Rhinolophus ferrumequinum: one gene and its partners. The protein of the gene in region 4 interacts with the protein of the main gene of each other region in a pairwise test. Links are inferred from orthologs where the notes say so. Each region holds a gene or a part of one and is shown on either strand. Other genes may lie near its edges. The genes, in order: SUV39H1, INCENP, PRR14 and CBX5.

Region 1 (7,584 bases), on a different chromosome or scaffold from region 4:
TCATAAAGTATATAAATGCCTAACCACTGCATTGTACACTTGAAACTAATATAAAATAATATTGAATGTCAACTATAAATAAAAATATATACATATGTATAGTCCCGGGATATAAACTACAGCATAGGCGATACAGTCAACGGTATTGTCATAGCTATGTACAGTGTCAAGATGGGTAGTGGTCTTGTCGGGGTTATCACTTTATAAGGGGTGTAAATGTCTAATCACTGTGTTGTTTGATACACCGGAAACTAAGACAGACAGAGAAAATTCCCTTCGGAAACAGATGCAGGCAGTGGGGGGTAAGGGGGCAGGAAGCCAGCTTCCTTGAGACACCCCCAGCCCCAGCCACGGTCACCCCAGACTCACGCGGATCTTCTTGTAATCGCACAGGTACTCGACTTCAAAGTCATAGAAATTCCTCTTGGAGATGCCGAGAGCAGGGCAGGAGAGCTTGGCCAAGCGGCACAGGTCCTGTAGCTGATTCCAAGAAGACTTGCAACACACACTACAGCCTAAAACAAGGGGGCCAGAAGAACAATTACTGGGCATCCTGGCGAGCCCAGGGGTCAAAGGGTACCCCAAATCCTTCCTGGCACTTCCAAAGGACTGCCTCAGAGTCAGTGAAATTTAATCCACAGGCCTTCCCAACGCTAAGACCTTTATATACTACAAAAATGTGTCACTACCTTCAACCGCAAGGCTCACTGTCCAAGGCTACTCCTGGCGGCAGACCCAAGGGAGGACCTGCTGCATGGATTGTCCTAAAGGAATTTATTCCCAGAGCTTCCAACTCCCTCTATACCGTTCCTAAACCTGCCTGAAAACCTGCCTAAGGTTCAGGACCTAATCCTCCTCCTCCACACTTTGCAAAAGAACCACCCCTCCACCCCCTCAGTAGGGTGCAGTGGCCCAAGGGCCTAGATGGGATGGCGTTAAAACTTCCAGGGCAACAAACCTACGGGAAAGACTGGTCCACAATCCCTGATCTAAAATCCCTGAGGCCAGATGTGTTTTGAAATTGTTTGTTTGTTTGTTTACAAGTGTAGTTCAGGTATTTCCCATATATTACCTAACACCCTCAGTGTGGTCAGGGGCTTCAAGCCATAATCAAGCACTTTAATAATTCTGAAGCAAGAGTCTGAATTTTCACACTAAATAGGAGAAATAAAGATGCAAGATAGCTGCGCTGAATAGTTCCACCTTACAGTCTAGTTTTTCCACTGAATGGTGCCAAACTTTAGTTTTCAATGCTTTTTGGATTTCAGAATTATGAATAAGATTGTGGAGTGGTATTAGATTACAGGAAGCCTCCTTAAGGATTAGTCGGGGTGCCTTAAACCCACACAGTATATTTTTTCACATTGCATTTTGACTTTCTCTGTCTCATCCACATTTCTGTGAAGGGTAAAGCTTGCCCAAAGGAATTCAGAAATAAGCAAAACAGTAATAGGTTAGGGACAATAATGCTTTTAATCATACCTGAAATATTTCTGGGGTTACCAAAAATTTTCAAGACAGATTTTTTTGTTTAAAGCCTTCTGATTCAAAGATTCAAGGCACATTCTTAATGTGCTTTAGAAGCCATTTTATGAGATCATTTCACAGAACACTTATTCCAATGTAGTCAGTCCTCATCCTGTTAGTATTTTCTACCTCCCATTACAAAAATCAAACATTTAAACTCATGACGAAATGCTCTAGATGTCAGTCTAAAAATGTACAAGAGCTTTGCAAAATTATTTCGTGTGCACTCCCCCCACACACTGAGGCAGGCCTAGTGGAGATTCGGCCTGTGCCCACGCTTTCCTCTCCCTGTGACGTCTCTCCCTTTCAAACCCCTTAACTTGCATTTGAAACCCCACTAAAGTGGTCCCAGCTCACATCTCCAGCTGCTGGTGCCCCACTGACCACAGGTGGACTCTCCTACCCCGCAGAGGTCCCCCTCACACTTGTGGAACCCATTATTCCCGCAGCTTTCCTCACCCAGAGGAGCCCACCCCCCAACATACTGACAAAGTCACCCCTTTTCCCCTGCACACGAGGGAGTCCAGCTCTCCCATTCGGGAAGCCCCCTGCCCATCTTCCTGGGGGAGTCCTCTCTATTGTAGACCCTTCCCCCATCAGGCTAAGAGGAAATACTCTCCCCCCCCAAGGTTCCCCTGTCCCCCCACTCTGAAAAGGAGGTCCGTCCCCTTCCGGCGTCTCGCGTGGACACCAAGCGGGTAACGGTCACCGACGGCTGATTTTCCCGCGCGCGGGCGCGGCCTCCCCTACAAGCCCCCGCGCGTGCGCGCGCCGTCCGGTCGCGATGTGAGGCGCGCGCCCCCTTCCCGAGTCCCCACTTCGTCCCGCGCCCACCGCCTTCCGAAGCACGCGCCCCCTCCCCTCAGCCCCGCCCAGCCCCGCGCGCGCCAGGCCCGCGCTCCCAGAGCCCCAGCCTTTCGGCGCCGGGCTTTCAGATCCGTGGCTTCGGACGCCAGGGCCCCGAGCCGGCGACGCGACCCCTCCAGCCCACCCGGTCCGGCCACCGGGCCCGCGCCGCTGCCACCACTGCTTCACCTTTTAAATTTTCCGCCATCTTTCCCCACGGCTAACGACATTCGGGCCTAACCGGCCTCGCGAGAAGAGAGCTCGCGCGGGCGTGGCCGAGAACGCGCAGCCTATTGGCCGTGCCGTACCGCGAGCAGCGCCCCCGCGGACCAACCGGCAAGCCGTGACCGGACCCCTCCCGCCACTCTGCTCGGTCTCGAAGGCGGGTGCTCGCCGGCGTTTTCCCAGCGTGCGTCTGGGCGGTGGCGGCGGCGGAGGTAGCTGGAGGCTCTGACTGTCCACCAGCCTGTCTGTCACGCTGTCAGCCAATCCCGTTGTCAGTCAGCCAGACGTGGGGGGGATCCTCTGTGCTGTCAGAGCCCCAATTATCACCGTCAGGCAGCCCGTCACCACATGTTAACCCCGAGCAGGCCGTGACTCTCCTCCCGGGTGAACTATGGCCCCAGACTGCTACTCAGTCTCAAATCAGCTCCCACTCAGATCACACAATGGGTCAGCCACCACAACTGTCTAGTCAGACCCCGCCCCCTTTCATACCGTCAGTCACCAGCAACAGCCATCCGTGCTCTCGGGCCAGCGGCAAGTCCTTTGAGGCCGACATACAGTGCTTACTAACAGCTACACTGCTAGTCAGCCACTCTGTCATTGCCTGAGATTGTGTCTTCTTCACACTGGCAGTCACTCAAACATCAGTCTCTCCGTCTATCCTTGCCTGGCATCTGCTCTGAATCCCCCTAGGGAAGTTATCTCACACCCGGCTCAGGCATCCCTAACCACCAGCCATGCCTGCAGGCAGGCTGCGATTAGGTCTGACCAGGCTGGCTGGCATTGTCAGCATCTCACGTAGCTCTGTCAGGCAGTCACACTATCCACTGTTAGTTGTCAATGACTGTCATTCTGCCCTCGTTCCCACTATGATCAGGCAGTGATTCCCTCAGAGAAAATAGTCACAGCAACTAAAGGTAACATTAAGCCTCCACGCCACCTGTCAGTGGGTCAGCAGTCTGTACTTTCTCAGGGAGGCATGCCCTCCATTGGACAGTCAGTATCCTCTGACCCATCCGGGCAGTTGTGATTCTAACCTCATACAGCCATCGAGTCAGGCAGCTACGCTGATCTTTCTGTTGGTCAGCCAGCCTGTGACTCGTTCAGTCTGCCCCTCATCATATTGTCCATCAGCCAGGTAGCCATTCTCACCGACTGAGTACTTGGTCTGTCAAGCGTGCTGTGATTTGGTCAGGGCGGATAGTCAGTCACCAGAGACAGGTGCCTATCAGACAGCCACAGACCTGTCCATGGGTCAGCCTGAAATCCCCTCAGGATAGCCCTCCTTTACACATTGCCAGGCAGCGTAACATCCAAACACTCCCTTGAGCGGGGTGTGATTCCTAGCAGTAGTCATCCATTCACGGCGTCCCACTACCCAGGTGGGCAACAACACCATGTGTCAGCAGTCAGCCAGCATGTCAGTCCCTCAGGAAACTTCCCGTCTTCTACACTGTTGGACCACCAGCCCCAGCCAGTCCAAGGCAGGCTGTAATTCAGTTAGATATTCAGTACCGCACAGCATAGGGAAACCACACTGTCAATTCCTCAAACTGCCCCTCTCCCTGTTGGCCCACAAGTTATGTAGTCAACCAAATGGTTATACAGTTAACCAAATGGTTATTCTGTCTGCCTGCCAGTCCAGCTGTGAGCTGCTTGGAGAAATGAAAGGTTCCATCAGCTCCTGCTTGCCATGAATGGAACAGTCAACAGCATAAGTCCCACCATGGATTCCCCTTCCCTCCTTTATTCCTCCTAGAAGAGAGTCAGATGCCGGTCATCAAATGCCCCTAGTCTTTCCAGACAGGCAGGACCCTCCCACTCTGAGGAGTCCAGGAGGCCTGCCCAACCCATGAGAATGGTTTAAAGCATGACCTCTTTCTGTCTGAATCTGGAGAGGTGATGTGGGGGTCTTTGGGGAGCATTCCCTTGGACCTCCCCCAAATAGTATAAGAATATCGCATAAATGCCTAGATTCTACTAGCCCCATGACCTGGGTTCAAATCCCAACTCTACCATTTACTAAATTGTGTGACCTTAGGTAGTTTCTTCATCTAAAAAACCTCAGATGAGTGACCTTGGAGTGGGTATCTCCTGCTAACCTGGTAAATGAATCTTTCAAAAAGACTAGCACCTTTCAGGATACCTCAAAAGAGGCCACACTGTTATTACTGTGTCCTACTCCCAACCATGTGTCTGTTTGTTTAGTGTTAATTACTGCCTAGTGTGTATATTTCCTTGCCCAGTGCTGGGGCCAATACAGGGTTTTATTCATTACATGCCACACAAATTTGACCTATTTTTGTTGTAAATCCCATATTGGAGTATAGCACACATACAGAGAGTACACAGACCATGTGTGACCAGTGGAGTGACCCCATGTCTGTGCCTTTTACCCCAGGTCTGTGCCTGCTCTGTGCCTTTTCAGCAGCAAACATACATGTGGAACCAGAATGCAGGTTAAGGAACGTCATCGCCAGCCAGGGCGCCAGAAGCATTTAATTTGTTTTTTAACATCTCTAAAATCAGGCTGCATCTCTCATGCACTGGTGTGTCATAATTTAATTGGCAGTACTTTTTGTCTTTCTTAGTGATACAGAAAATAATGGTGCATTTTATAATCAGTGGTGACTCAGGATCAGTGACACCCAGGAATAACAACAGCAGCAGCAACTAATGTTTATATATAGATGCCTACAAGGAGCTAGGCACTTAGCAGATACCATCCATTTTAATTCTGGCCACAGCTGGTGAAGTAAGTTTTTCTATCCTCATTTTAAGGACTGAGGAAACAGGCCCAGAGAGGTCAAGCAACTTGCCCACAGTCAATTCTTTTACCCCAGGTCTGTGCCTGCTCTAGCTGGTGCTCCTGGGGATTCAAAAGTTGTGTGCTGTAAAGTTTTCTAGGACAAAGCCTGCCTAAGGGGTCCTCGAACACTGATTTCTAGGGCTTTGCCAGAAGGGTGGGGTGGGGGTAAGTGATATGACAGGACCTTCCTAGACTCAATGCTCACCTTGGAGACTTGGACGGGATGGGTGGGAAGTTGAGTGAAGGGTGAGGAATAATGAAAGAATTAAAGGGAACCTGAGACTCCCTCCTCCAGCTTCCCCAGCTTTAGGGGAATTCTTATGGGGCAAAGCCACATCTCCGACCTCACCACCCCAGCTGCCCCCACCACCTGGCTTTTTCTTTTCTTCCCCTAACCCTCCAACCCGCACCTTCCATCTCGCAGGTGGAAGAAGCCTGCCCTCTCTGGATTCCTCCTCACCTTTATCTTTCTCCCCTCTCACCTCCTCCTCCTCTAAAGTTAGGCTACCTGAGATCTTCAATCCGCCAGGTTCAGAAATGGGAAGGAGTAGGCACCGCGAATCCTAGGTTTTAATGTACAGGAGTTTGTCATTACTCCCTTGGAAATAGCTTTAAACACCAGGGACAGTTTTGAGTTGCTCCTTTTTTTTCTGGAGAGCAAGTCCTGGAGGAGGAGAAGGGGAGACCCAGTGGGATCCAAGCTGGAAATCTGTTACATATTGTTACCCCCATTGTATAGATGAGGAAACTGAGGCTCAGAGGTGAGGCATCTTGCCTGGGTTCTAGAGCAGATCTATCTGATTAGTAAGTTTTTGCCTCTTCCATTGTCATTGGCTAAGACTTGGTTTGCACTGGGGACTGGGCAGAACCAAATTTTAATATTGAGAGGGGGATTCTGCCCATCAGGATCCTGGGTGAGTTGTTATGTACATGGAGAGTGGGGAAGTCTGACCACCTAGTACTCTCTTGATCTAGTATTGTGTTGATTAAATGGTTTTTTAAAAATATGTAAGTGAATGAATAAATAACTCTCACTCATTCACCACACCTGGCTCATGCCAAGCTTTTCCCCACCTCAGGGCCTTTGCACTAGCTGTTCACTGTGTCTGGAATGCCCTTCCCCCAAGTATTCCCCTAGTTGACTCCTCTCTCTTTAGGTCCAGCATAACTGTTACTCCTCCAACTGGCTTTCCCTGAGTACTGTTATCTAAATGTCATTTCTCCTCAGCATGTAGTACTTATGATCTGTAACTATCTTTGGTTTCCATCTGATTCTTTCTTTCTTTTCTGTCTCCTCCCCTAAAATGTCCATCCCCAGAATGTTGGTCCCACTAGGGCAAGAATTTTAGTCATTTTTTTTCCAATGCTTTATCCCCAGTCTCTAAAGTAGTGCCTGGGAATAAATGTTTATGGAAAGAAAGAAGGGCAGAAGGAAACAAAGGCTAAAATGACCGAGAGAACAAATGAATGAATGGATTGTATACGTGTATGGCTAAGTAAATGAAATGGGATAGATGAGTAAAAGGGACCTTGGGTGAAAAGGACCCCAAATTCCCACATGTGGAATGTATACAAACGGAGATTTAGAGAAACAGAAAGACAGCTATTTTATTTTTGTTTAAAAATCCTTGAGTGAGGAGAAATTTTGTATAAAAAGGGCCCTGGTTATTTTGTATAAAAAGGGCCACTAGGGTGAGTGTGGGGGCCAGTCAGAGGTAATAGCATTGAAAGGATTGATGGGGAAGAAATACACCTTGGGAGCCTGGAAGCCAAGAGAGGAAAGCAGCAAGCAGGGGCTGCTAGGTGAGGGCGCGCAGAACAGGTGGGGATGGTGGTGACTCAGTCATCCCATTCATCGTCCTCATCATCATCTCCGGCCTGGTCCTCCCCTTCGTCTGGAGGGAGACAGAAAGAGTGGAATTCAGGATGAGCAGGAGGGCTCGAGAGCCCTGGGGGAAGGGGTTTCCTAGGGCCCGGGAGATCAGGACTCAGGGCCCTGGGGGGCTGAGGTCTCCTGCTAGGAAATCAGATCTGGGACCCATGTGTTGGATGAGGATGGGGCCTCCTCAGAGGAGGGAGAGTTAGGGTTCCTGTTTGGGACAAGATAGGGATTATTATTGGGGTCCAGCTTCTAGTGGGAGTTGAAGTTAGTATTTATTGTAAAAAATGTGTGGTTA
Region 2 (7,599 bases), on a different chromosome or scaffold from region 4:
CACTCAGGAGAGACCCCTGGCAGCCTAGCTGTCTGACTTGCCTGTCAGGTGGGGAAGTAGACTGCTGTGTCCCCAAGGCCACAGCAGCCAGGGGCCCGCCAACGCCTCCACCCTCACCTGGTGAACATGCGCTCAGCCTCTTCCTCAATCTCCTCGAGCCACACTAAGTCCTTATTGTCCACATTGCAGATAAACTCCATGAGCTTCTGGTCACACAGCTCCAGCAGGTGAATGGGCCCAGGGGCTGATGTCCCCATGGTGGCTCTGTCTGGTGAGAGTAGAGATAAGAGGGACAAGGGCTCAGGGCTGGGGACTGGAACCTTCTCCAGGAGAAGAGCCTGCCACGCCATAGCACCCATCCCCTATCGCCACAAAACCCCCAGTGCCTGAATCAGGGCCAGCCCGGTCCATAGCCATTCCCCAGAGATGCAGAGTTCCAAGTACCAATCCATTAGCCTCATTTTTGCGAAAATAAGGGCCCATAAGAGAAGAATTCTACTCACACTCTTCAAACGTCTTCCCTCTACCCACTCACAGCACGCTGTCCCCGTAAGTCCACACCTCCCACCCAATTCTGGTATCAACCGTCCTCCTTACAAATGGCCTTTTCTGAGGCTCAAAATGACAAGGCATGGCCAACTGCCTTCCTTACTCTCCTGCTCTTACTCTCCCGTGGACTCTCCTCTTCCTCCCTGTGGGTAACCAAGGACTTACAACTACCCTGAGCTACATACAAGCTGACCCCAGGCCTCAGGCCAAAGAACATCGAATCCAACTGCCTCTTCAAGAGGCCAGTGAACGGAAGGGGTTCTGCGTTCCAAAGGAGTCAGTAAGAAAGTAGGGGAGACATGCTCCTGTCCGAGGGGACCCCACAATCCTCTCCCTTGAGCTGACACGCCCTAGAAATAGATGAGTAAATGTGAGGGGAACGGATAAGCAATGTCTTATTTTTAAGAAAACTCATCTATAAACATTGGGTAGGGGTAAATACAAAACGAGTTTTCTCTTAATGTCTGAAAAACATGCAGCTCAGGTATCCTCCTTAAGACCTGGTTATACTATCATCACCAAAGCCTCAGGCAAGGAAGAAGCGTTCCATTACAGCCACAGCAGGGTCGCGGTTAAGATTCCGACTGGGTGGATGAATGAAAGAACAAGTGAATGGCTGAAGGTCATAACTCATAATAAGACTGCACGTCTCGTGCCATGGCAATCACCTACCACCCCTTCTAAACCAAGAACCACACAAAGTTCAGCCTCCCACCAAAGACGGAAGCTCCTGGAAGGGCTAAGTCACCCCTTGACACCCGATAGAGCTTAACACCAGGCCAGGATGCAGTCTCCTGAGACTTCCTGGGGTCTGATTTCCAGGGTGCACCACTTTTGTTCCTTGAACGAGCGCTGCCCTGTCTGGAATCTTCTGTCTCCTATTTTGTACAGCTCGCTCCTCGTCACTTGGATCTCAGCAACTCAGGGAGGCCCTGACCACCCACCATGATCCCATTCATCCATTCCAATTCTCTGTACGGCACTTGGGTGTTTGCTTACTGCCTATCTCTGCCCCCTAAACATGTGCTCCCTGAGGAAGCCCTTGCCTGTCTTGCTTGTAGCTGCACAGTACCTGGCACGAAAGAAATACTGGTTGAATGAATTAATCCACCTATCAACTCTACACTAGAAATAAGCATCCTACAGGTACTCCCCCACCCCACCCCCACACACAGGGACACCAAATAAGCTCCTTCTACACAGGTTAGGGCACACCACACTCGTCCTGCTCCTAGATGCCAAGAGCAGCACTAACCACGGCAGGGCCCATGGGCAGGACTGCAGAGGCTTTGGACAGCGACAGCTCTGCAGCCAGCCACTCACTCATGGGCATGGCCTCTCTGCTGCCATTCCTCTGGCTCCCTCCAGCCCCTCTGCCCCAGAGCTCAGCCTTGGCAAAGTGCAGGACCCCAGTTTGAGGCCAAGAAAGAGACAACGGATTAAGGAAGCCAAAACCAAAACAAAGGTTCGAAGAGGAGCTACAGAAAGCAGTCGTGTGGGGTTTTATTAAGTATTTGTTCAAAACGGCAAAGTGAGTGAGAGCTTCTTTCGTCAAGTGCAAAAAAAAAAGTGTTTGGGCTTCTTCCACAGGGAAGATGACCTCAGCTTTAAAAGGGGTCCCCAAAGTTAGGACAAAGGTGACCCTGACAAAGGAGCAACCAGTGTACCAAGACTGAGGCCCATGTAAGAACCTGTGCACAAACCCCAAGCACCCAACATCCCACCAAGAGAGGAGGGAGCTCATCTGTCTCTCCCAATACTTCCCTCCCACCGTACATCAGACTAGAGGCCCCACTGCCGTTTTTTGCAACGCCTGTTCTTTTAAGGATGCAGGAAGTTGGGCACCTAACCTCTACCACACCCCAGTGTAGAATGGTCATAATAGCCGCTCCCCTTTACCGAGTCCTACTCCATGCCCAGGCCAGGCAACATTTAATTCTCACCACAACCTCAAGGATACCCATGTGCATATGAGGAAACTGAGGCAAAGAGACGGTAACTCAAAGTCAACCTGGGGCCGAGACTTAAACGGTCCTCTTAACCACAAGCTAAGCTGCCTACTCGATTTCAGCCTCAGAAAGGCCGGCGCCAAGTTTTGACTCTGGGCACCCCCCCAGAGAAGGCCACAGTGACTGAACAGAACTGAATGCTGACAGCGAACTGCTTGCGGAGTGACAGGATAAGGGGCAGCACTGGCCTCTGCAAATGGTCAGTTTAAAACGCTGCTCAGCTGGAGGGGGAGGTGTTGGGCGAGGGTTAACTGTACAGAAATGCCACTTGGCATAATTCCATCACACAACACGGTCGGTGTGCGCTTCCTGCGCGTCCAGGTCAACAAAGGGCCTTCTAGGTACAAAGGGGGTAGGCACCGGGAGGGGACGAGGTTATTCTCTCGGAACCTGGGGACCTAAGTGGAAGAGCATCTTAGGCTCCAGGGCCAAGGCTGTTCACCTCGACTCGTGGCAGTGGTGACCTGTCCATTCCCAGGCCGAAAGTGGGGTCGGGGGGTCGCGCCCACGGTCCGGGGTTGTCGAGAGGGGTAACAAATAGCTAACCATCCCCCACCCCCGCCGGCCGCCCGAGCGCACTCACTCGACTGCACCGCGTCTCCTAAGTGCTGCTCTGATCCAAGTCCGGCCGCCTCTCTAGCAGAACCCCCCACCCACCCAGATCCTCAGCTTCCGAACTCCGGGACTCACGGTTCCTGGGAAGCAATGGGGCCTCACAGCGCGGGCGAAACCTACGATTTTCAAAACTGAAGGCTTGACCAATCCCCGGCAAGTTTGTCTGGGCGGCTGCAAAACTCTAAGCCAATCAGGTAAAAAGAAGCTCTAGTCAGGCCCCCTATTGGCTGCTTGGATTGGCAGTCTGCGGGAATAAGAAGCGGGGAAAGGAAGCGTTGAAACTTTAACTTGCTCAGCTTCCGGGAGCCGCAGCCCGCAGCCTGGAGGTTGTCGCGGGTGGGCGGGGGGGGCGGGGGGAGCGGGGGGGGCAGGCAGGCGGGGTGCGCGCGCAGGCCCTCTCACGCCGGAACCACAAGCCCCAGCGTGCATTGCGAAGGCCCCGCGGGGCGTGGGAGGCGCGTCCTTGGGGCGGGAATCGTAGACTTGGAGGTCAGACTTTTCCTGCGAGTCTTCAGCTGTGCTGTTACTTCACCCACATTTGTGCTCCATACAGGATGACATCCTTACGACTTCTGCCACTTTTGAGAAGTAAAAAGGAAACGCATTGTAAGTCGCGCCGGAGTTTGTATTTTAGTAGAACCCTACCTCATCTCTTGGGCGGCACCAACCAGGATTGCCCCCTGTACTGATCCCGAGTATTTGTTTGGAGTAGCGATTTTGCGCCCCACCCCTACCCCATATTTGGTGATGAATGACCACATTTTGTTGGGGCGGGGGGGTTGCTATTGGCGTCTAGTGGGTAGAGTCCAGGCATGCTGCGGAAAACCCTACAGGGCACAGGACAGTTCATACAGCAAAGACTTATCCGGCCCAGAATGCCAGTATCACTGCTCTTGAGAAACCCGGCTTCAGGCAATCACTTTACTCTGTGAGTCAAGGTTGCCATCACGTGTAAAAAGCAGTTTAGTCTCTCCAAGAGGTATTTGCACACCCATGCTCATTGCAGCATTATTCATAATAGCCAAGAGGTGAAGAAACCTAAATGCCGGTCAATAGATGAATAAAGAAAAAGTCCTTTGCCCATTCTTGTGTCATGTTATTTGGTTATTTTTTGTTTTTGTGATTGAGTTGTAGGAGTTTTTTGTTTTTTTAATCTATTTTGGATTTTAACCCCTTATCAGATACATGGTTTGCAAATATTTTTTCCCATTCTGTAGGTTGTGTTTTCACTCTGTTGATTCTTTGCTTTGCTGTGCAGAAGTTTTAAAGTTGGATAACCCCATTTGTCTACTTTTTATTTTGTTACCTGTGCTTTTGATGTCATTTCCAAGAAATATTGCCAAGACCTATGTCAAGGAGCTTTTCCCCTATGTTTTCTTTTAAGAGTTTTAGTTTCAGGTCTTATATTTAAGTCTTTAATCTATTTTGAGTTAGTTTTTGTGAGCGGTGTAAAATAGAAGTCCAGTTTCATTCTTTTGCATGTGGTTATCCAGTTTTCCCAGCACCATTTATTGAACAGACTATCCTTTCCCCACTGTGTATTCTTGGTGTCCTCATCAAAGATTAGTTGATTGCTTATTTCTGCGCTCTCTACTCTGTTCCATGGGTCTATGTGTCTGTTTTTATGCCAATACCATGATTTTTTATTTCAGTGGCCTTGAAATCTATTTTGAAATCAGGAAGTGTGAGGCCTCCAGCTTTGTTGTTTTTGCTCAAGATTGCTTTTGCTATTTGGGGTCTTTTGAGGTTCCTGATGAATTTTAGCATTGTTTTTTTCTATTTCTGTAGAGAATGACATTGGGATTTTGGTAGGGATAGCATTAAATCTGTAGATCACTTTGGGTCATATATACATTTTAACAATATTAAGTTTTCCAATCCATGAGCACCAGATGCCTTTCCATTTGTTTGTGTCTTCTTTTTCTTTTCTTTTCTTTTCTTTTATTTATTTAAGTGCGTTTTCCCAGGACCCATCAGCTCCAAGTCAAGCAGTTGTCTCAATCTAGTTGTGGAGGGCACAGCCCACATTGGCATGTGGGGATCGAACCAGCAACCTTGTTGTTAAGAGCACGGCCCTCTAACCAACTGAGCTAACCAGCTGCCCCTACTTGTGTTTTCTTAAATTCTCATCATCAATGTTTTATGATTTTCAGTGTGCAAGTCTTTCACCTCTTTGGTTAAGTTTTTCCTAAATATTTTATTCTTTTTGTTGCTATAATAGTTGTTTGAATAGTATTGCTTTCTTAATTTCCTTTTCAGGTAGTTCATTGTGTATAGAAATGTCCCTGATTTTTTTTTTTATGTTGATTTTGTACCCTGCAACTTTACTGAATTTGTTTACTAGTTCTAACAGTTTTGTTGTTTTCTTTTTTAATCTCTAGTGTTTCCTACATATATTATCATATCATCTACAGAGATAAAATTACTCCTTCCTTTCTGAGTTGGATTTTTGTGTGTGTGTGTGTCTAATTGCTCAGGATAGCACTTCCCAATACTATGTTGAAAAGAAGTGGCAAGAGTGGGCATCCATGCCTTGTACTGAATCCTGGAGAGAAAGCTTTCAGTTTTTCCCATTGATTATAATGTTAGCTATGGGATTTTCACATATGGTCTTTATTTTTTCTTTCAATACTTTGAATATATCATACAATTCTCCCCTGGCCTGCAAGTTTTCTGCTGACAAATCTGCTGATAGTTTTATGGGTATTCCCTTGTATGTGATGTCACTTTTCTCTTGCTGCTCTTAAAATTCTCTGTTGTCCTTGACTTTTGACAATGATTATAATGCATCTTGATGTAGTCTTTTTAGATTGATCCTACTTAGGATTTTTTGAGCTTCATGAATTTGGATGTTCATTTCCATACCAAGATTTGGGAAGATTTAAGCCATTATTTCTTTAAATAAGCTTTTAGCCCCTTTCTCTCTCTACTCTCTGAGACTCCTATAATGCATACATTGGTTCTTTTAGTGATGTTCTATAAATACCATGGGTTTTCTTCCCTCTTTTTAATTTGTTTTCCTCCTCTGACTGGATAATTTCAAATAACGTGTCTTCAAGTTAGCAGATTCTTTCTTAGCTGCTAAGGCTATTTTCTGCACATTTCATTTCAGTCATTGTATTTTTCAGCTCCAGAATTTCTGTTTGGTTCATATTTATGATTTAATAAATTGAATATATTAAGAAAACAGTCACTCCTGAATCACCTTTTTGATGCACAAAGGCCACCCTCAAGGGCTCCATAAAATTCTTAAGAAGGATTGTACAGACTACCAGCAACACTGTCATAACCAGCTTCAGTCTCGCTTTGCACTGCTGCTTGGCACATTACAAGTTACAGTGTTGCGTTATAACTCAGCATCATTTCAAGTACCACACATATAATTGTACCACATTTTTTAAGAATTACCAATGCATACCTTTCATGCCAAAACAAAAAAAAAAACTGGATTTAGAATGTTGTGCTTTTAAGACACAGCAAAGTGTGAATTATTTTGTTATCCAGTTAGATGGCAAAGCATTGTGTTTATTATGTAATGACAGTAAGCTGTGCTAAAATAGCACAGTACACATCAGCATTATTTCAGCACTCATCATAATATTCCCAATGATTGGAGTGAATATTCCATATGATCAGCAATGATCAGAAAAATAGAAAATTTAAAGCATTATATCTCATCACAGCAGAATTTTTTCATAAAACTAAAAAATGAATATTTGGCTGCAACCAAAGTAAGTTTCCTAGTGCCTCATTTGTTAACCAAGCAAGGAAAACTAACTTGGGTGAATTAATTAAATCGTGTTTAATTGCAGCAAAGAAAATAAACTTATTTAAAAATATTAGCCTTGTGGTGAGAACAGTTGCTCAAAGACTTGAGGGCATTGGGAGCAATATCAGCAGTTATGCCAGGCCAAAAAAAAATGGCTCTCAATGAAGATGGAGGCAGAGGTTGGAGTGATGTGACCACAAACCAAGGAAGCCAGCAAACACCAGAAGCTGGAAGAGGCAAAAAACGGGTTCTCCCTTAGAGCCTCGATGGTGAATGCAGCCTTGCTGACACCTTGATTTCAGATTTCTGGACTCTAAAACTATGAGAGAATTTATTTCTGTTGGTTTAGACTACAAAGTTTGTGGTAATTTTTTACAGCAGCCCTAGTAAACAAGTATAATAGTTGATTAAAAAACAAGTCAAATGATTTTTAGTGGTTTTGCCTGGCTCTTATGCATTGTCAGATGTCACCAATACTGCTAGTTATTGTTTATTTGAGGAATGCATGCTGAGGTTGACGTGACTGAGGAATTAGCCTCTATAAATAGTCTGTATGAAACAACTATAGGCAAGCATATTTTCAAAGAAGTTGAGTAAACAGGAATTCAGTACAACCTGAAGTGGAATCTTCTAAGATGTGTTACAATTGCAGCGGGT
Region 3 (7,722 bases), on a different chromosome or scaffold from region 4:
TCTTCCAAACAACGCCCTTGAGGCTGATCACGTCACTTTCCGAACGGGGGCGCTCAAGCTCAGTCCAGTAAGAAACTTCACGGTAACACAGCTGAGCCAGTAATAGAATTCAATGTATCCTACTTTGAACCCATTATGCTATACAGCTGCTTCTCAATACAGCAATTGCTCAAAAATATCGAAGTAATTAAAATTTTTTTCTTTCCTTTCCCCTTTCCCTTGTGCCCCCTGCCCCTCCCCCCAAGCAAGAGATGGTCTTTTTACTTCCAGAGGTTCACAATGGACCTTCATTCCATAATTAACTCCCTTTACAGATATGAGGCACAGGACTTGTGATGGTCTTATAATTCAATGGAAAGAGCTTAGGCGTTAGGAGTCGGGGAAACTCTTGAGCCCTGCCCCCACCTCTTGGCAGCTGTATAAGGTAAGCACGTTACTTCATCTTGATGGTGTGCGTTTCTTTGTGAAATTGGGGTCATACTATCTACCTTACAGACACTGTCACTGAAGTTTAAAGGAGTTAACCGTACGTGTGGGTCTTATAGTAGGCAGTTAATTCAAGGGAGTTATTATCTGAGGGAGATGGAAGTTGCCTACCAGGAAGAAAGCTGTTGGTTTGTAACCTGGGAAATATCCCAGGTGAAATCTGAAAGTGGTCCTCATACACCAAGGGCAAGGAGAGACCGAAGGCAAGAGGCAGACCAATCCAGATGGGTAGGTTTAATAAGGCAGGTTTAATAAGTCAGAGAACTTATTTACAAGGCTTGTCTTGGGCGACCCCAAGACAAGTGGATCTCTGCCTCCACCTGCCAGAATCTTAAAATTTTATAGAGAGGCCTTAATAGGGTTCAGCCAGGTATCCTGTCCAGGTGGTCTCAACAACACATTACTCTCTCAATGCCGTATCGTTGAAAACAGCTCCCACCGTGGGACTGGCAAGCAGAACATACCCTCCAAGGAGAGGGGAGGCGGTGAGGAGCCTCTCATTGCCTGGGTTTGGTTCGCAGACCAACCAATCATCATGTCCTCTTGATGACCTCCTCCAACAAGATGCTCCTATCTTGAAGCAGTGAGAAAATGCCATACATACATAATCTTATTCTTGGAGAAGTCTTGAAGGTTGGGGGTATGGTCTTCACCTGCTCTTCTTCAGCTCTCATCCCTTGAGGCCATTCAGATATCTCCCATTCCTAAATCCCTGGCGCCCCCACCCCTTACTCTCCTAGGCTGACTAACCTAGACTTCCGGAAGATATCTCTGGATTTGGATCTAAGAACTGAGACCCAAGCTCTTTTGGCTGCTTCTTAATATGTATCTGGATTTATTTGTTTGTTTATTTTACCACTGAGGGTGGTTCTGCTGATGCTTAATCAGAGCTTGTAGCCAGGAAAAATACTTGAGACCTTTGAGAAAGACGTGAGGCCACTTCTAACTCACTCATTTGGGTGATGTCCTGTGAGAGCTAAAAAGGGCCCTGCACTTCATGAACAGTAGTGAAACATTATTGGGTACTGCCTGTACCAATACTGCTTGTATTGAGAGGCTAATCAGCAACTAGGCTGCTAGAGAAGCACCAGCCACACTCTGGGAAGAGGCAAGGCCATGCACCTCGGGTGCAAATCCAAGGTAGAGTTTGCAGAAAACTCAGCTCCAGTCAAGGCAACATTCATGGAGTCTGCAGTGGGGGATTAACACAGACTTGGATGGAGATTTCGGGTTCAAAGGCGTCAGGGCATCGTTGAGTGCCAGGCCCTGGTTCTCTGTCTCAGGGTGAGGCACCTGCTCTGGCACTGGTATCTCTATCTCCCAAGGTTTCTTGACTTCTATGTTTCCTTCCCCTTGTTTACTGATGGAAAAGAGGGAGAATTTCAGGGTTGTAACCAGTTTTAGTCCATGAGGCTTTTCACAGTTCTTGGAGGGGTGAGGATGAGGGCCATGGGAAAATTCAAAGATGTGAGTCAGAGTTCCCCTGGATAGTTGATTTAAAGAGGTCCCCAAGTCCCCATACCTGGCTCATAGTTCTATCGAATCCTGGGCCCACTGACCCCTCACCAAGAGTCCCTCTTGTCCATGGGGATTGATAAAATGCCTCAGTTAGGGGCATTGCTATGCTCCTGTGAAAGGTCTTCCCCCCACACTCCTTGCTAACAACAGGAAACCTCTAGGAACTCCCTCGGATCAGCCCAGAAAAAAACCAGGATTCTGAGATCCTCAACCTGTGGAGAGAGCTACTGAGCAGAGCAGCTCTCGTAGGGACCGGAAGGCACAGGATACTCATACAGAAGAAGGGGGAGTTATCATCCTCTTTCTACCTGTAGCCTGAGACTTATTTATCAGGCACACTCAGCTGTGTCTCCTCAGTTGATCTTGACCTTCCAAGTCTATTTTGAGATAGGCATGACAGGGTGTATTGCTCTCATTTTACAAATGAAATCACCAAGGCCAGGGAACAGTTAAGCAGGTGGGAGACCCAGAGTCTAAAGGGGCCCAGAGTTTCTGAAGAATGAGGTGCCCTAACACCAGCCTCCAGCCACATCACCAGCTGGAGGCCGTGTGGGGCCTCTGGCCACTGGGTTAGCACACACTGGCCATGCCCTAGGGTGTGTACACAGGTGGGTAAGGTAGTAGTTGTTGAAATGGTAGTCACAGAGGACAGAGTAAGACCGTGAAGCTATGAAGGCTTGCAGTTGCTGGCCTGGACTGAGGCCAGACACCAACTTGGTGTCTAGAACTTCAATTTGATGAACTCCAGCATCCGTTTGGATCTCAGGGCTGAGCGCTCCCTACCAGATTCTCAGGCCCAGGCCCTTTCTTTAGACTACTTCCTTTGCCCTTGGTATTGAGTTCTTCAGGAGACCTAGAGAATTGAAACTCAGATCAGGCACGCTTTGCCCTTGAAAGCTTTTCTCTCCTTGGGGCCTGGGAAGCACCTGTGTGTTTAAGCAATTAAGTGAGAGCCTACATAGCGCCTCTCAACACACTGAGGTTGAAAAGGGTCTCCAAGCATTCAAGGCTGGATGCGCCATACCCCAAGGAACGTCCTGAGGCTCGATGCAGCCAGCCCTGATCCAGGGGAGAGAAGTCACCTCTATCTGAAAGAGCTACCTACCGCTTGCGTCCTCCAGAAGACTCATCATGGGGTTCCATAAGACCCAGCAGGCTTTGGGTTACAGAGTAGCTGTAGTCCTGGGAGAGCTACCCTGATGGGTCTCCAGTGTTGGGGAGGTTTCGCTTTCCACACCTACTCTTACTGATTCTGCTCTTTCCATATCATCCTTTCTGTGCCATTTCTTTTATCACTCAACCCTCTAATAGACAATCATGCAGAGCAGGGTAGGTCACTCTGTACCTTCATATCAGATCAAGAATTCTAGGCTTCAGGCTCTCTTGCATTAAGAAAATAAGGACTGGGCCAGCCTGGTGGCTCAGGTGGTTAGAGCTCCATGCTCCTAACTCCAAAGGCTGCCGGTTCGATTCCCACATGGGCCAGTGGGCTCTCAACCACAAGGTTGCCGGTTCAACTCCTCCAGTCCTGCAAGGGATGGTGGGCTGCGCCCCCTGCAACTAGAGAAGGCAACTGGACCTAGAGCACAACTACGATTGAAAGGACAACAACTTGGAAAAAAGTCCTGGAAGTACACACTGTTCCCAAATAAAGTCCTATTCCTCTTCCCCCCAAAAAAAAATATCTTAAAAAAAAAAAAAGAAAAGAATAGAAGGACTGGTTTGGACCAGGGACTCCCAGGGAAGGAGAACTAATGGAGGCACGGGCTTTGGTTGGGCAGTGAAGGCGCCTTCACCACGCAAGAGGCCAGGACATACCCACTTCCTTCCCACCAACAGCCCTGCTCCCGATAAAAATGCCAAGCTCCAGGATTCCATCCCTGGCCCGTAACTACTAAGGACTATTTACACGCCCACCAGGCTGGCCTCTCTTGAAAGAGGGCTCGTGGGAACGTGGAACAGAGAAGAAAGCGAGCACGCCAAGTTGGTTATTGGTTTCCTGCAATGACGCCCCTATATTGAGCCCTCTGCACCCGCCGCAGAAACTCCCACTCCTCCAAGAAGAAGTGCACAACACTCGGGTAAAGGGAAACTCGGCGCCCCCACTTTGCCTCAGCTCAGCCTCTCCAGGACACCGCGCGAGCGACGGGGTCGGGAGGGGCACTCCCCTAGTCCGGCCCTCGCCACCCTCTCCCTAACTGTTCGCTGCGACGTGGGTACCCGGTTGAGGAACCCGGGGTGGTACCGGAACCGGCCTCGATGGGGCCTCTCTAGGAAATTGGGAATTTCACCTATCGTTAGCGCTCAGTTCTTGTTGATTGGCCTAAAAGCTAAAGAACCGGAAGATGCCCTTAAAAAACGTGGCGACACTCTAGCTTCGCTACAGTTATCTCAGTAGCTCGAGAAACTTGGCATAGTCTTCGGCCGCTGCCTGGCCTTAGAAGGTGACGCCACCCGGTCCATTTCCGTGCCTTGAGGACGGCGCTATCTGCCCTCAACTATCATGGTGGCACAGCCCAATTGGGCGGTTTGCCCCTAGGGATGATGGCTGCCAGGAGGCTTCACTTCATTTCTCACCACCCAGGAAGACGCGGGCCGCCGATTGGACGCAGTCCGGAGGCTCCGAGAAGAAGGCCTTCAGCGGTTGGGCAGTGTTGGGAAAGGCTGGTTTTAAAGGAGCCGCAGGTGGGAGCCGTCGAAGACCCGGGATCCGCGGGAGGCGGCGGTGAGCGGCGCGCGGGGGAGGGAACCGAGCGGCTGGAGAGAGGGCGGGAGGAGGGAGGGAAGGAGTCGTTTGAACCATCTGTTCCCGGGCTGGGGAGAGCCCTGGGCGGGGATCCTGGGAGGGCAGAGGGAGGGGGTCTGTGGGCGGGACCTCCCGGGATTGGAGTGGAGGGCTATCCGCTTGACAGTGGATCCCCGGGGATCCGGACTGAGTTCGCGTTGCTCAAGCTCGGTCTTCCCCTGGCTGAGCGGAGCTTTACGGAGCCGAAGCTCACAGGGAGAGGAGGATCCTCGTGCGGCGTCTGATTGGCGGAACCGCGCTGGAGGATTCTTTCCTCTTGGATCCAGTCTAGGGGATCTGGCGGGAGGGGGAAGTCGTCGGCGTGTGGGAATATTGCTTCAGAGCCCTTGGTCGCTCGCTGGGAGTGGATGAGGATCGCGGAGGGATCTGGTGGAAACTGAGCCTTCCAGGACCGGGATCCTAGCTGATCCCGGGGAATCTCAGGGCGGAATCTGCAGGGACAAAGGCCCCAGGAGGCTCCGGCCGTGGCAGAACTGGGGCTGCTGCAATCCAGGTTTTCCTGGCAAGTGCCCAGAAGTGCGCGAGTGATCCGCTGATCGCGGCGGCGGCGGCAGCGGCTGTGGGAAGACACCCGCTCCGGACGGCCGACCGAGGGCGCCCTTTCGCGCCCCAGGTCTCCGGCCCGTGGGCTACCGGGAGCTGCGGGTGGACCATGAAGGGCAGAGCCCCAGGGGAAGGGCTGGCCCTCACTCCCCACTCCTCCGCTCCCCACCCTACCCCAGGCTGCAGCCTGGGATCCCCCAGGGACTCCCCGAAGCTGCCGCTTCCCCCATGGACTTGCCCGGGGACTCCAGGTGAGAGTGCACCCCGCCAGCCTGTCGTGAGCCCGGGAAACGGGGAGCCTGGCGGCCGTACAGGGGAACCACAGAGCCAACGACAGGCTTGGGCAACCGTCCTCTGCTTCTCTCATCCTCCAGCCCGCCTGGCCAGCCACGTCTATGCCGCCAGCCCCTGGCTCGAGCATTATGGGGAGCCAGAAGCCCGAAACGGGCGAGGCTGCAGCCCGTGGTGGCCCCTTCACCCTTGGAAAAGGCCTCTCGGCGGGTCCTGGCCGTGGTGCTGGAAGATGTCATGGCTGCCCATATGGTGAGCCCCCCGAACTGAGAAGCCCCTTTCTCAACCCAGTTCCTCCTCAGTACCAATTAGGCCAGATCACTAATGAGGATAATTGACTTCCAAACACTTCATTCTCACACCCGTCGCCCAGCCGGCCTCCATAATGCTAACGTTCTGCTTGGCTCTCTTAGTCCCTCCTCAAATTGGGCGGGGTCTCCAGTGCCCATTCCCCACGGCCAAGCCAGTGGGGCTGGAACCTCGTCCCTACTACTCTGGAAATACGAGAAACGCTTCTGCTTGCTTCCCAGCCCAACTTTTAGGCAATCCTTGGGAAGCAGACCGAGGTCATTGGCTCCATTGTACAGATAGCAAAACTGAAGTCCCAAACAGGGCTGTGACTCACCCAAAGTCACCTTCTTTTCACACTCCAAACAGCGTGGGTGAGATGATCCAGGTCCCACAGCTGCAGCTCACAACACTAATATCTGACCCCCAATTCAGTTTGACTCACCTCTTTGGGGATCTTGAGTGAATTCTAGCCACAACCTCTGTCACCTTTGTGGCCTAGGACACTTAGGCACAGGGAGATCCTGTCCAGTCCAACTCATTCCCTCATCTTACTCTTGACACCTTGTCTCCTAGGCCCCCCTAGTGCCAGGAGAGGAGACCTCCACCCCACGGCACCCCGCCAACTGTCAGGATTCTGTCCGAAACCAGCCGCCTGCCTTGCCACCCCAAAAAGCCATATGGTTGTCCCAGGCCAGGTGAGCATGGCAGGATTTGGGGGGCAGCTGGGGACACAGCAGAGCCCCTCTGATCTGTGTGTTCCCTCTCCAGGCCTCCCGACCCCCTGCACTTATGCCGAGAGCCCTTGAGCCACATCCATCGGTCTCCTTCCACTCTGAGGTGTCGATCACAGCCAACCCCTGGCCCAGACGAGGGCCCTTCACGAGCGGTGGACGGGGGCCCCCAGCCCACTCTGGTGGTGATGCTAGAAGACATTGCCAGCCCCAGACCCCCAGCTGAGGTATGGGAACTTCGGGTGAGGATGGCAGGGGTGCAGCTGGGGGCAGGCACTCAGCGGGTGTAGGAGACAGGTAGGAGGATTGAGTCCTGGGTGGCCTTTGCTCAGAGCCAGGAGGACAGCAGGTTAGGCAGAAGACACTGCTGGAGCAAAGACCTGTATGAAAAAGTCTGTGGTGTGAGCCCAGGCGGGCATCTGAAGACAGAGACAGTCGGGATGTGGGAAGCTAGGGAGGTCAGCGGGGCTTCCCTGCCTCCCCACAAATACCCCCTTTTTACATCCAGGGCTTCGCCGACAAGGCTCCCAACTTCATCGTCCCAGCCAGAAGGTGAGACGGCTGGGGAAGGAATTATTAAGATGTCCAGGCAACAACCATTGTCTAGGCAGCCAGAGCTAAGGGCCTCAGAATGGACTTGTCCAGTTGTTTCTTGTAGCACCTTCAGAAGGCTTAAGGGACAGGGGAGGTGCTGGCTCAGGTCGGATCTGGACCTGGAAGCTCCCCCAGCCTTTATCTTATCCCTTCACTCCAGAGCTGAGTCCGTGACGATGGTGAACCAGCCAATGCCTCCGCCCAGGGACCTGGAACCCCCATTCCAGCCATCTTCCTTGCCTGCAGACCCTCTGGAGAACCCATCGCCAGGTAAGGACTCAGAGACACGGAGGAGACTTGAGGCTCTGGAAAATCCTAGCTGAGCTTCTAAGTGTCAGGTGCAGAGGTGGGGGTGGGGCCTAATCCCCTCCTAGGGTGGAGCTTGGTGTGTAAAGATGGGGTTTAGACTTCAGAGGCCTGATGCGCACCTCCTAAAGATAGGGCTTAGTTTTTCAGGAGTGG
Region 4 (7,487 bases):
CCACTGCCATAGCTACTGCTGCTGCTGGAACCACCATAGCCACCTAAGAATAAAATTTGTTCCTTTAAACTTGCGAAGTGTCAATATAATTAACGCTTGTATATTTCAATCAACAAACTCCAAACTTGAGAATTTAAGCTTTTCAGTTTGATTGCAAAATACAAGTCACTATAGTATCCTGAAATCTTCAAATTGTCAGCTTTTGATTGCCTACGCAGTATCACCTAAATACTTAATATATTCTTTACTCATTTGTTATAGGTACACTAAGCCTTCCAATACTATAAACACCTATTATACCTTGGTTTCGTGGTTTGGCAAAGTATTGACCTCCACCACCATAGGGGCCAGAGCTTCTGCCTCCAAAGTTCCCTCCTTTCATGGGTCCAAAATTTGAAGATTGATTGTTGTAATTGCCAAAATCGTTGTAGCTTCCACCACCTCCAAAATTGCTTCCTAGGAATGGAAAGAGGTCCTTTATCTGTTACTTAACAAAGACAACTGTTCTGAATTCTAGCGTTCAGAGTGGAAGTCACATGACCTGCCTGCCTTCCTCCCAAACTGATGGCTCCAATGCTTGATTGTATTTCATCCTTTCTTGGCAAGGCATTCAGTTGAATAATCCAGTATTTTAAAAAATTTACCCAACTCACCACGACACAGAACATTCTCTAGCCTTTGAAGGCCTTTACCCATTCAGGGGCACTGCAAACATGCTGGATACATCAACTAAGTGCCTAAAGTCCCAAAGATACTAAATGCTGCTAGAAGCTAATCTGATTCCAGCTGAAGATGCCACTATCCATTTATTCATCTATTTGGGAGTGAGGCGGCCCCAGCTTAAAGCCAGGAGGAGGTAGCACAGCAAGTCCATTAAAAAATACCATGCAGCGTACCACATAATGCTTTAAGAGCACCAAATCCCCATACGGGCACAAATTCTACAAGGCTAATCTAGCTACTGCACCAAGTACCTGGATCACTGGATACCTACCACTACCACCGCCAAAGCCGCCTCCGCCTCCTCCGTTGTTATAGCTGTCATAGCTGCCACTCCCGCCATAGCCACTGCCCTGGTTTCCATAACCCTGTCCACCACTTCCATAGCCTCTGCTTCCTCCAGAGTAACCAGGGCCGCCTCCTCCATAACCACCTACAAGAATACAATTCTTCTCAATAAGACAAAAGTATTCAACAATCAAAATCTGTTTAAGCATAATGGGTAACAGCCTGGTCACATGCTGTTATAGTCAGAGTTCAGCTTGTCATGCACTAGTTTTAGTCTCTACTAACCTAGTATAGACTATAGGTTACCACAAACTTTCCACCCATGTATTCCTAAAGAAACAAAAACCACACAAACGTACCATCATTACCAAATCCATTATAGCCATCCCCACTGCCACCATATCCTCCTCCTCCACGACTGCCTCCAAAGCCACCTGGAAGAAAGTGGAGTTTTAAAGCAGGTTCGGAGTACGTGCATCACATATAATTATAGCCTTTCAAGTCTACTTCAGGGAGCAGTTCCTGTACTACTAAAATGATTTCCACACCAAAGATTTTAACTTCTGATTAGCAGAAACCAGAACTACATTTGGATAAAACTGTAACTTTAGAAATGCCAGTCAGTAGTTACATAGAGCTGCAGGTTGTAAAAAGCACAAGTCAGGCAGGTAATTACATCACAAGCTTACCCTTAATTCCCAATAAAGCAGAACCACATGTACCTCGACCACTGAAGTTTCCTCCACGACCAAAGTTGTCATTCCCACCAAAGCCACCTCCTCGACCACCACCGAAGTTTCCAGAACCACTTCGACCTTAAGAAGAGATAAGTGTTAAACCACAGATTGTAATTGCTCAGTTACCTTTATTTAAGGTTTAACTAAAAGCAACAAACCCACCTCTTTGACTGGATGAAGCACTAGCCATCTCTTGTTTAGATAGGGCTTTCCTTACTTCACAGTTGTGGCCATTCACAGTATGGTATTTCTGAACTAAAAAATTTCAACAATGAAAAGGGACAATTCTCAGGGTTTAGAGAAAGATATGGATTTCAAACCCCTTGGTAAATACCAGTCATCTGATACTCACTGACAATCTTGTCTACAGAGTCATGGTCATCAAAGGTTACAAAAGCAAAGCCTCTCTTCTTGCCACTGCCTCGGTCAGTCATGATTTCTATCACTTCAATTTTCCCATACTGTTCAAAATAATCTCTTAGGTGATGCTCTTCAGTGTCTTCTTTAATACCACCGACAAAAATCTTTTTCACAGTTAAGTGGGCACCAGGTCTTTGAGAATCCTAAAGGAAAAATCCAATTAAGTGACTTACATCAGCAAAATCAGTATTAAAGTTTGCCAACATCCCTGAACGTAACATCCACCTAGTAGCACACTTCTATATGACTAACGGAAAGAAAAAACACTTACTTCTCTTGAGACAGCCCTCTTTGGTTCCACAACTCTTCCATCCACCTTGTGTGGCCTTGCATTCATGGCTGCGTCCACCTCCTCCACAGTGGCATAGGTGACAAACCCAAAGCCTCTGGAGCGTTTGGTGTTTGGGTCTCTCATCACCTGAGATATTAATTCATTTAACACATATTAAGACTCCAAGAACTACTGTCATTTCTACCTTGGATAAGGTAGCAGGAAACTTTATACTAGCCCTCATACAAAGCCCTTCAACTTAATCTTACCCATCTAACAAATCTATTTACATCTTAATCAGTTAAAGCCTCACCTTCCCTTGCCAAGTTACTTCCAACTATAATCCTGTTAGCAATCTTCAAAAGCATTCGGACAGTAAGTATAACAAGATAAGCCAATGAAATCAACTAGTTCCAGTGCTCTTTTGTCTCTTCCAGGTCTTACCACACAGTCTGTGAGCGTTCCCCATTGCTCAAAATGGCTCCTCAGACTCTCATCGGTTGTTTCAAAGCTCAAACCTCCGATGAAGAGCTTCCGCAGCTGTTCAGGCTCTTTGGGAGACTAAGAGTGGGGGGGGAGGGAAAGCGTTATGTCGGTCTGTATCGCAAAACATCTTCCAATTAAGAGAAACGAGACAGCAACGTACATAGCACTTATTGTTCCAGAGGGTCGCAGCAAGCCACGTGCTTCTCCCCATTGGGGAGGCTCTATGTTGGGGGCTGGGAAACGGCGAGCGCATGCGCCCCTACAATCCCTCCGACGCACGCGCCAACAAAAGGTCTGGGCGGGAGGAGTGCATCGCCAATAAGGGACCACAGCTGCTTAAAAAAAAAAAAACTCGCCCACTGAGACGAGATAAAAATCGTTCACTGTGCCTAAGAGTTTTACCAGGAGGACCAAACCCGGCGTGATAACTAAGGGTTGCAGAACGGCGGCCTCATGGCGACGACGAGGACAAAATGGCGACCTGAACTTCGGGAGGGGTAGGCCCTGGCAGTGACCGAAGAACTGCCGAATGGGCTGGCGCAAACAACCAATCCAGGCCGCATCCAACCCAACTCAGAAAGGAGCGAGGAAGAAAATTAAGTTGGACAGAGCATCTTACCTCTGACTTAGACATGACGACCGCGGGAGGGGTGACTTTAACGATGCTTACTCGGCGGCGTCCACCGACAGAAAGGAGTGATCTAACGAACGTATCTGCCAGCCTACCTTCGGCCTCGCTGTTTTATCCCGCCTCCTCGCTTACGGCATTGGTAGACTCCGCCCCTGAGTAGCTCTGACTGGATATTTGAAATAGCTTCCTGCTACTATTGGACTGTGGTGCCGCATTGCTGTGTAACGTCATCCGTTTGGGCGTTCTACGTAGTCTCCACCCCTTGGAGTCCATTGGTTCCCGTGTAATGTTACTCCTGACTAGTGTGATTGGCTAGCCAACCAATCATTCATATTTGAACATCCTGAAGGTATTTGAATAACTTTTTGGCTCTCCACGCCCCGAATATTACATTCTATTCAGTTGTCAATTTATGATTAATGCAGTGTATTAAAAAATAGCATATTAATTTTATTGTTTGCAACAACCGCCTGCTGAGCGCATGTGTAGTAAAATGGCGAGTTTACGCAGGCGCAATAAGAAGTTCCGCTTGACTCTTGGAACACGTGAAATGGCGGGCGGGAGACGGCGGCGAACCTACAGCGCCTGCGTTGTGGCGGGAGTTGTGCCTCGTTTTGCGCAGGCGTAATGGGCGGAGAAAAAGGTCTGGTCCCAGGATTGGTCGCGCAGGCGCAGGGAAGGATCCGTTTTGGCGGGCGGTTGGCGTTGCGCAGAAGGCGGCGGCAGCTGTGGCTTGTGGTCCGGCCTCACCACAGAAGAACAGGGAAGACATTAGCGTGAGTGATCGGTCTCGATCCCGGGTAAGTGGCGGACAGTCTTGCCTACCCATACGAGGTCTTGAACCGACTCCAAATGGGCCCGTTATTGTGTGAAATGAATGGACCGCGGGGTGGGGGCTAGCGGAGGGGGAGCGGTGGGTCCGGCCAACCAATGGAAGAACAGGGGCGGGATGTTTTATCCCTGTAAGTTCTGTGGAGCTTTGCCGTCTAAGAGTTTGACTGGCGAGTGTATAGGCCAATTGGGTCTGCCTTTAGCTGCCGACTGATCGGTCCTTGGGCCATCGGAATGTGGGAGGCGGGTTTTCCCCTTCTGAGCAGCGTCTCACTAAGCCAATGAGCACGAAGCGCGCGGTAGGTTGGGCTCCTCTAAGAGGCAGCGGTTTGACTCCAATGGGAAATGCGGGAGTTGGGCGGTAAAATGGATGGACCAAATCTGGAGCCAGTAGGAGGACAACCTACTGAGAGCGCTCTCCCGGGTCGTCCAATCAGCGCTCCAAAAGACGGAGGTGCTGGATTTGTGTTGATGAGGAAAGGGATTCAATGCCTGTGATGGCGCTTCGGGATGGATATTTTATCCACTATGACTTTTCTAACGAAGCCTTTAGGCCTCCATCGCATAAGCCTCCCTGGTATGGAAACGATACGTTTGCTCCTGTGTACGTCGAGTTGGGCATCCCCCCGCCCCCTCCAACACACACACATCAGTACATCCCACCATCCACCATAGGTTTTGGGGGGAGCAAGGAAGAAGGTCTTTTGACTTTGAGAACTAGCTTCTTTAGGAAGACCGACTTGAAATGTTAGAACAAATAGAGATTGTACTGTCTTGAAAAGGTGCCTGAGGAATATCTACGTAATAATACATATTTCCACATACAACTCGATATTTGTAAGTCCATAGAAAAAGTTTTGGAAAGCTACAGACCAAAGTGTGTTACCCCCAGGAATACAGTGGCATTGAGGCAGATTAGATCTCTAATGTTTAAATCTTTGCAGGGATAATAATAATTTGTGATTAAAATTAAAGTCTGTTGATTTAGGGTGTTGGGGACAGAAGGGCTCATCCATCACCTGGGTTAGTTCATTGCCTTTTGATTATATTTCCTTAAAAGTGTTTATTTTTAGATGCAGTCCATTCCCTGTTGGTAATGCCCATTCTGCTTATTCCAAGATTTTTACTAAAATACAGAAATTTTCATTACATTTTGGCTGTATCAGAATATATACTGCTTTACTCACTGATGTATTTATTTAGAGTCAAGGGAAAAAAATCTTTGAATACTGCCGTGAGTTCAATTGCATATGAAGTATCCTTATGGTTAGAGAACATTTCTGACTTATAAAAGGTGATTTTAGTTGAGATATGAACAGAGAGATTTCCATGTTCTCTGGCACTTCCCAAAGGACAAACCTATTTCACGTTGTTTATAAAGTATTTGTAGGTATGCTCAAAATGCGGCTCCTTAATTTTTAAGAATTAAAAGGATATAGGTTTGAAAAGAATAGTCTTGATCTACAGGGTTTCTTAACTTCAGCACTATTGACATTTCCTGCAAATGCATCTCACCTCTCACCCCCATTTTTGACAATCAAAATGTCTCCTGACACTGCCAGATGTCCTGGGGGTTGGGTGTTTGGGCAAAATAATCCCCAGTTGAAAACCATTGATCTAAACTGACATGCTAGAGTTGATTATTTTGTCAAAATCTTTTACCAATTGGAAATTAGAGGGAGAAGATGGGTGGTGATGTGTTTAGGAGGTGGTTTTTAGTAAATGGATTACTAAATCCTAATGATTATCTCTTCAGATATAGTGTTCCATTGGATAGAAGGAAAATTTCATTAAGGTGTTTACTATTTAAACATGTTTGATTGCATCTTCTGTTTGGCTTTCTAAAATAATGGCAAATACGTTTTTTTAAAAAGATATACTTGCCTCAGATGCTTCTTACATTTTCACCTGAGTTAAGCCTCTTTCCTTTATTGGGATTCTTTTTTTTCTTTCTTTTTTTTTTAGATTTTATTGGAGAAGGGGAACAGGACTTTATGGGGAACAGTGTGTACTTCCAGGACTTTCTTTTTTTTTTTTTCCAAGTCAAGTTGTTGTCCTTTCAATCTTAGTTGTGGAGTGTGCCTTTCAGCTTCAAGTTGTTTCCTTTCAGTCTTAGTTGTGGAGGGCGCAGCTCAGCTCCAGGTCCAGTTGCTGTTGCTAGTTGCAGGGGGTGCAGTCCACCATCCCTGGTGGGAGTCGAACCGGCAACCTTGTGGTTGAGAGGATGCACTCCAACCGAGTCATTCGGGAGCTCAACGGCAGCTCAGCTCAAGGTGCCGTGTTCAATCTTAGTTGCAGGGGGCGCTGCCCACCGTCCCTTGCGGGACTGGAGGAATTGAACTGGCAACCTTGTGGTTGAGAGCCCACTGGCCCATGTGGGAATCGAACTGGCAGCCTTTGGAGTTAGGAGCATGGAGCTCTAACCGCCTGAGCCACCGGGCCGCCCTTTATTGGGATTCTTTTGGATCAATGTCTCAAACCTTTTTAGATGTTGACCCTTAATAAAAAATATATTTTATATTGACCCTGTACACACATTGAAACAAGTTTCACTGTACAAATAAATGTGCAAAGCACTCTTGACATTTTTGCATCTACAGTACACTATTTCCTTTTTTTAAAAATACAGGTCATTTTCTGCTGAACTGATTTCACAGCTCTGTACAGATCCACAGTTTAGTGAAAAAAGAAAAACAACTGGTCTAAAGAATAGGTAACTAAATTATGCCGCCTTAGATTATTCTCTGTGTGAGATTATTCCTCCCATCTTTGGCCCCAGCTACTTGGATTTATAAACAAATTAATCAGTGAACCCTTATTTGATGTCTGATATATTTTCATTTGAAAGATTTCAGGCTTTGAACATAGAGTTCTTGGTTTATTGTGGTGTGCAAGTAAAAATTGCTTGTTTTACTGTGAATTCTCTTAAAATGTCATAATAGGCATGATGAACATTTCTCTGGTGGGTAAATTTTAGTGGGTAATTTTTCATTGAAACTCTGAGACTATCACGTTGTCTAACTTCAGACTTTTTTCATTGCCTTTGTAGAACCTGGTTTGGTTGTTAACACGACAAAATGTTGAGCCTGAGTTACAAAAATTA

Evidence for each region.
Region 1: the proteins of CBX5 (region 4) and SUV39H1 interact in binary tests that used the Homo sapiens proteins (3 or more experiments, as listed by UniProt). The link is inferred for Rhinolophus ferrumequinum from reciprocal best matches to the Homo sapiens genes CBX5 and SUV39H1.
Region 2: the proteins of CBX5 (region 4) and INCENP interact in binary tests that used the Homo sapiens proteins (3 or more experiments, as listed by UniProt). The link is inferred for Rhinolophus ferrumequinum from reciprocal best matches to the Homo sapiens genes CBX5 and INCENP.
Region 3: the proteins of CBX5 (region 4) and PRR14 interact in binary tests that used the Homo sapiens proteins (3 or more experiments, as listed by UniProt). The two-hybrid records come from large-scale screens. The link is inferred for Rhinolophus ferrumequinum from reciprocal best matches to the Homo sapiens genes CBX5 and PRR14.

The regions. Positions count from the first base shown.
Region 1 is NC_046284.1:85,898,860-85,906,443, forward strand, and holds the start of SUV39H1 (histone-lysine N-methyltransferase SUV39H1), read right to left. Parts: upstream 3,306-7,584; 5' UTR 3,200-3,305; coding exon 3,091-3,199; intron 2,790-3,090; exon of another isoform or gene 2,582-2,789; coding exon of another isoform or gene 2,563-2,581; intron 516-2,562; coding exon 370-515; intron 1-369. Other genes in the region: actin nucleation-promoting factor WAS, read right to left, coding at 7,247-7,302. UniProt on the Homo sapiens protein: Histone methyltransferase that specifically trimethylates 'Lys-9' of histone H3 using monomethylated H3 'Lys-9' as substrate. Also weakly methylates histone H1 (in vitro).
Region 2 is NC_046294.1:8,945,853-8,953,451, forward strand, and holds the start of INCENP (inner centromere protein), read right to left. Parts: upstream 3,288-7,599; 5' UTR 3,142-3,287; intron 269-3,141; 5' UTR 258-268; coding exon 118-257; intron 1-117. UniProt on the Homo sapiens protein: Component of the chromosomal passenger complex (CPC), a complex that acts as a key regulator of mitosis.
Region 3 is NW_022680357.1:609,017-616,738, reverse strand, and holds the start of PRR14 (proline-rich protein 14), read left to right. Parts: upstream 1-4,579; 5' UTR 4,580-4,729; intron 4,730-5,532; 5' UTR 5,533-5,581; coding exon 5,582-5,604; intron 5,605-5,727; coding exon 5,728-5,896; intron 5,897-6,508; coding exon 6,509-6,630; intron 6,631-6,703; coding exon 6,704-6,893; intron 6,894-7,174; coding exon 7,175-7,218; intron 7,219-7,420; coding exon 7,421-7,530; intron 7,531-7,722. UniProt on the Homo sapiens protein: Functions in tethering peripheral heterochromatin to the nuclear lamina during interphase, possibly through the interaction with heterochromatin protein CBX5/HP1 alpha. Might play a role in reattaching heterochromatin to the nuclear lamina at mitotic exit.
Region 4 is NC_046293.1:54,025,569-54,033,055, reverse strand, and holds the start of CBX5 (chromobox protein homolog 5), read left to right. Parts: upstream 1-4,196; 5' UTR 4,197-4,353; intron 4,354-7,487. Other genes in the region: HNRNPA1 (heterogeneous nuclear ribonucleoprotein A1), read right to left, coding at 1-43, 301-456, 995-1,153, 1,368-1,442, 1,731-1,823, 1,908-2,000, 2,098-2,308, 2,437-2,583 and 2 more. UniProt on the Homo sapiens protein: Component of heterochromatin that recognizes and binds histone H3 tails methylated at 'Lys-9' (H3K9me), leading to epigenetic repression. In contrast, it is excluded from chromatin when 'Tyr-41' of histone H3 is phosphorylated (H3Y41ph).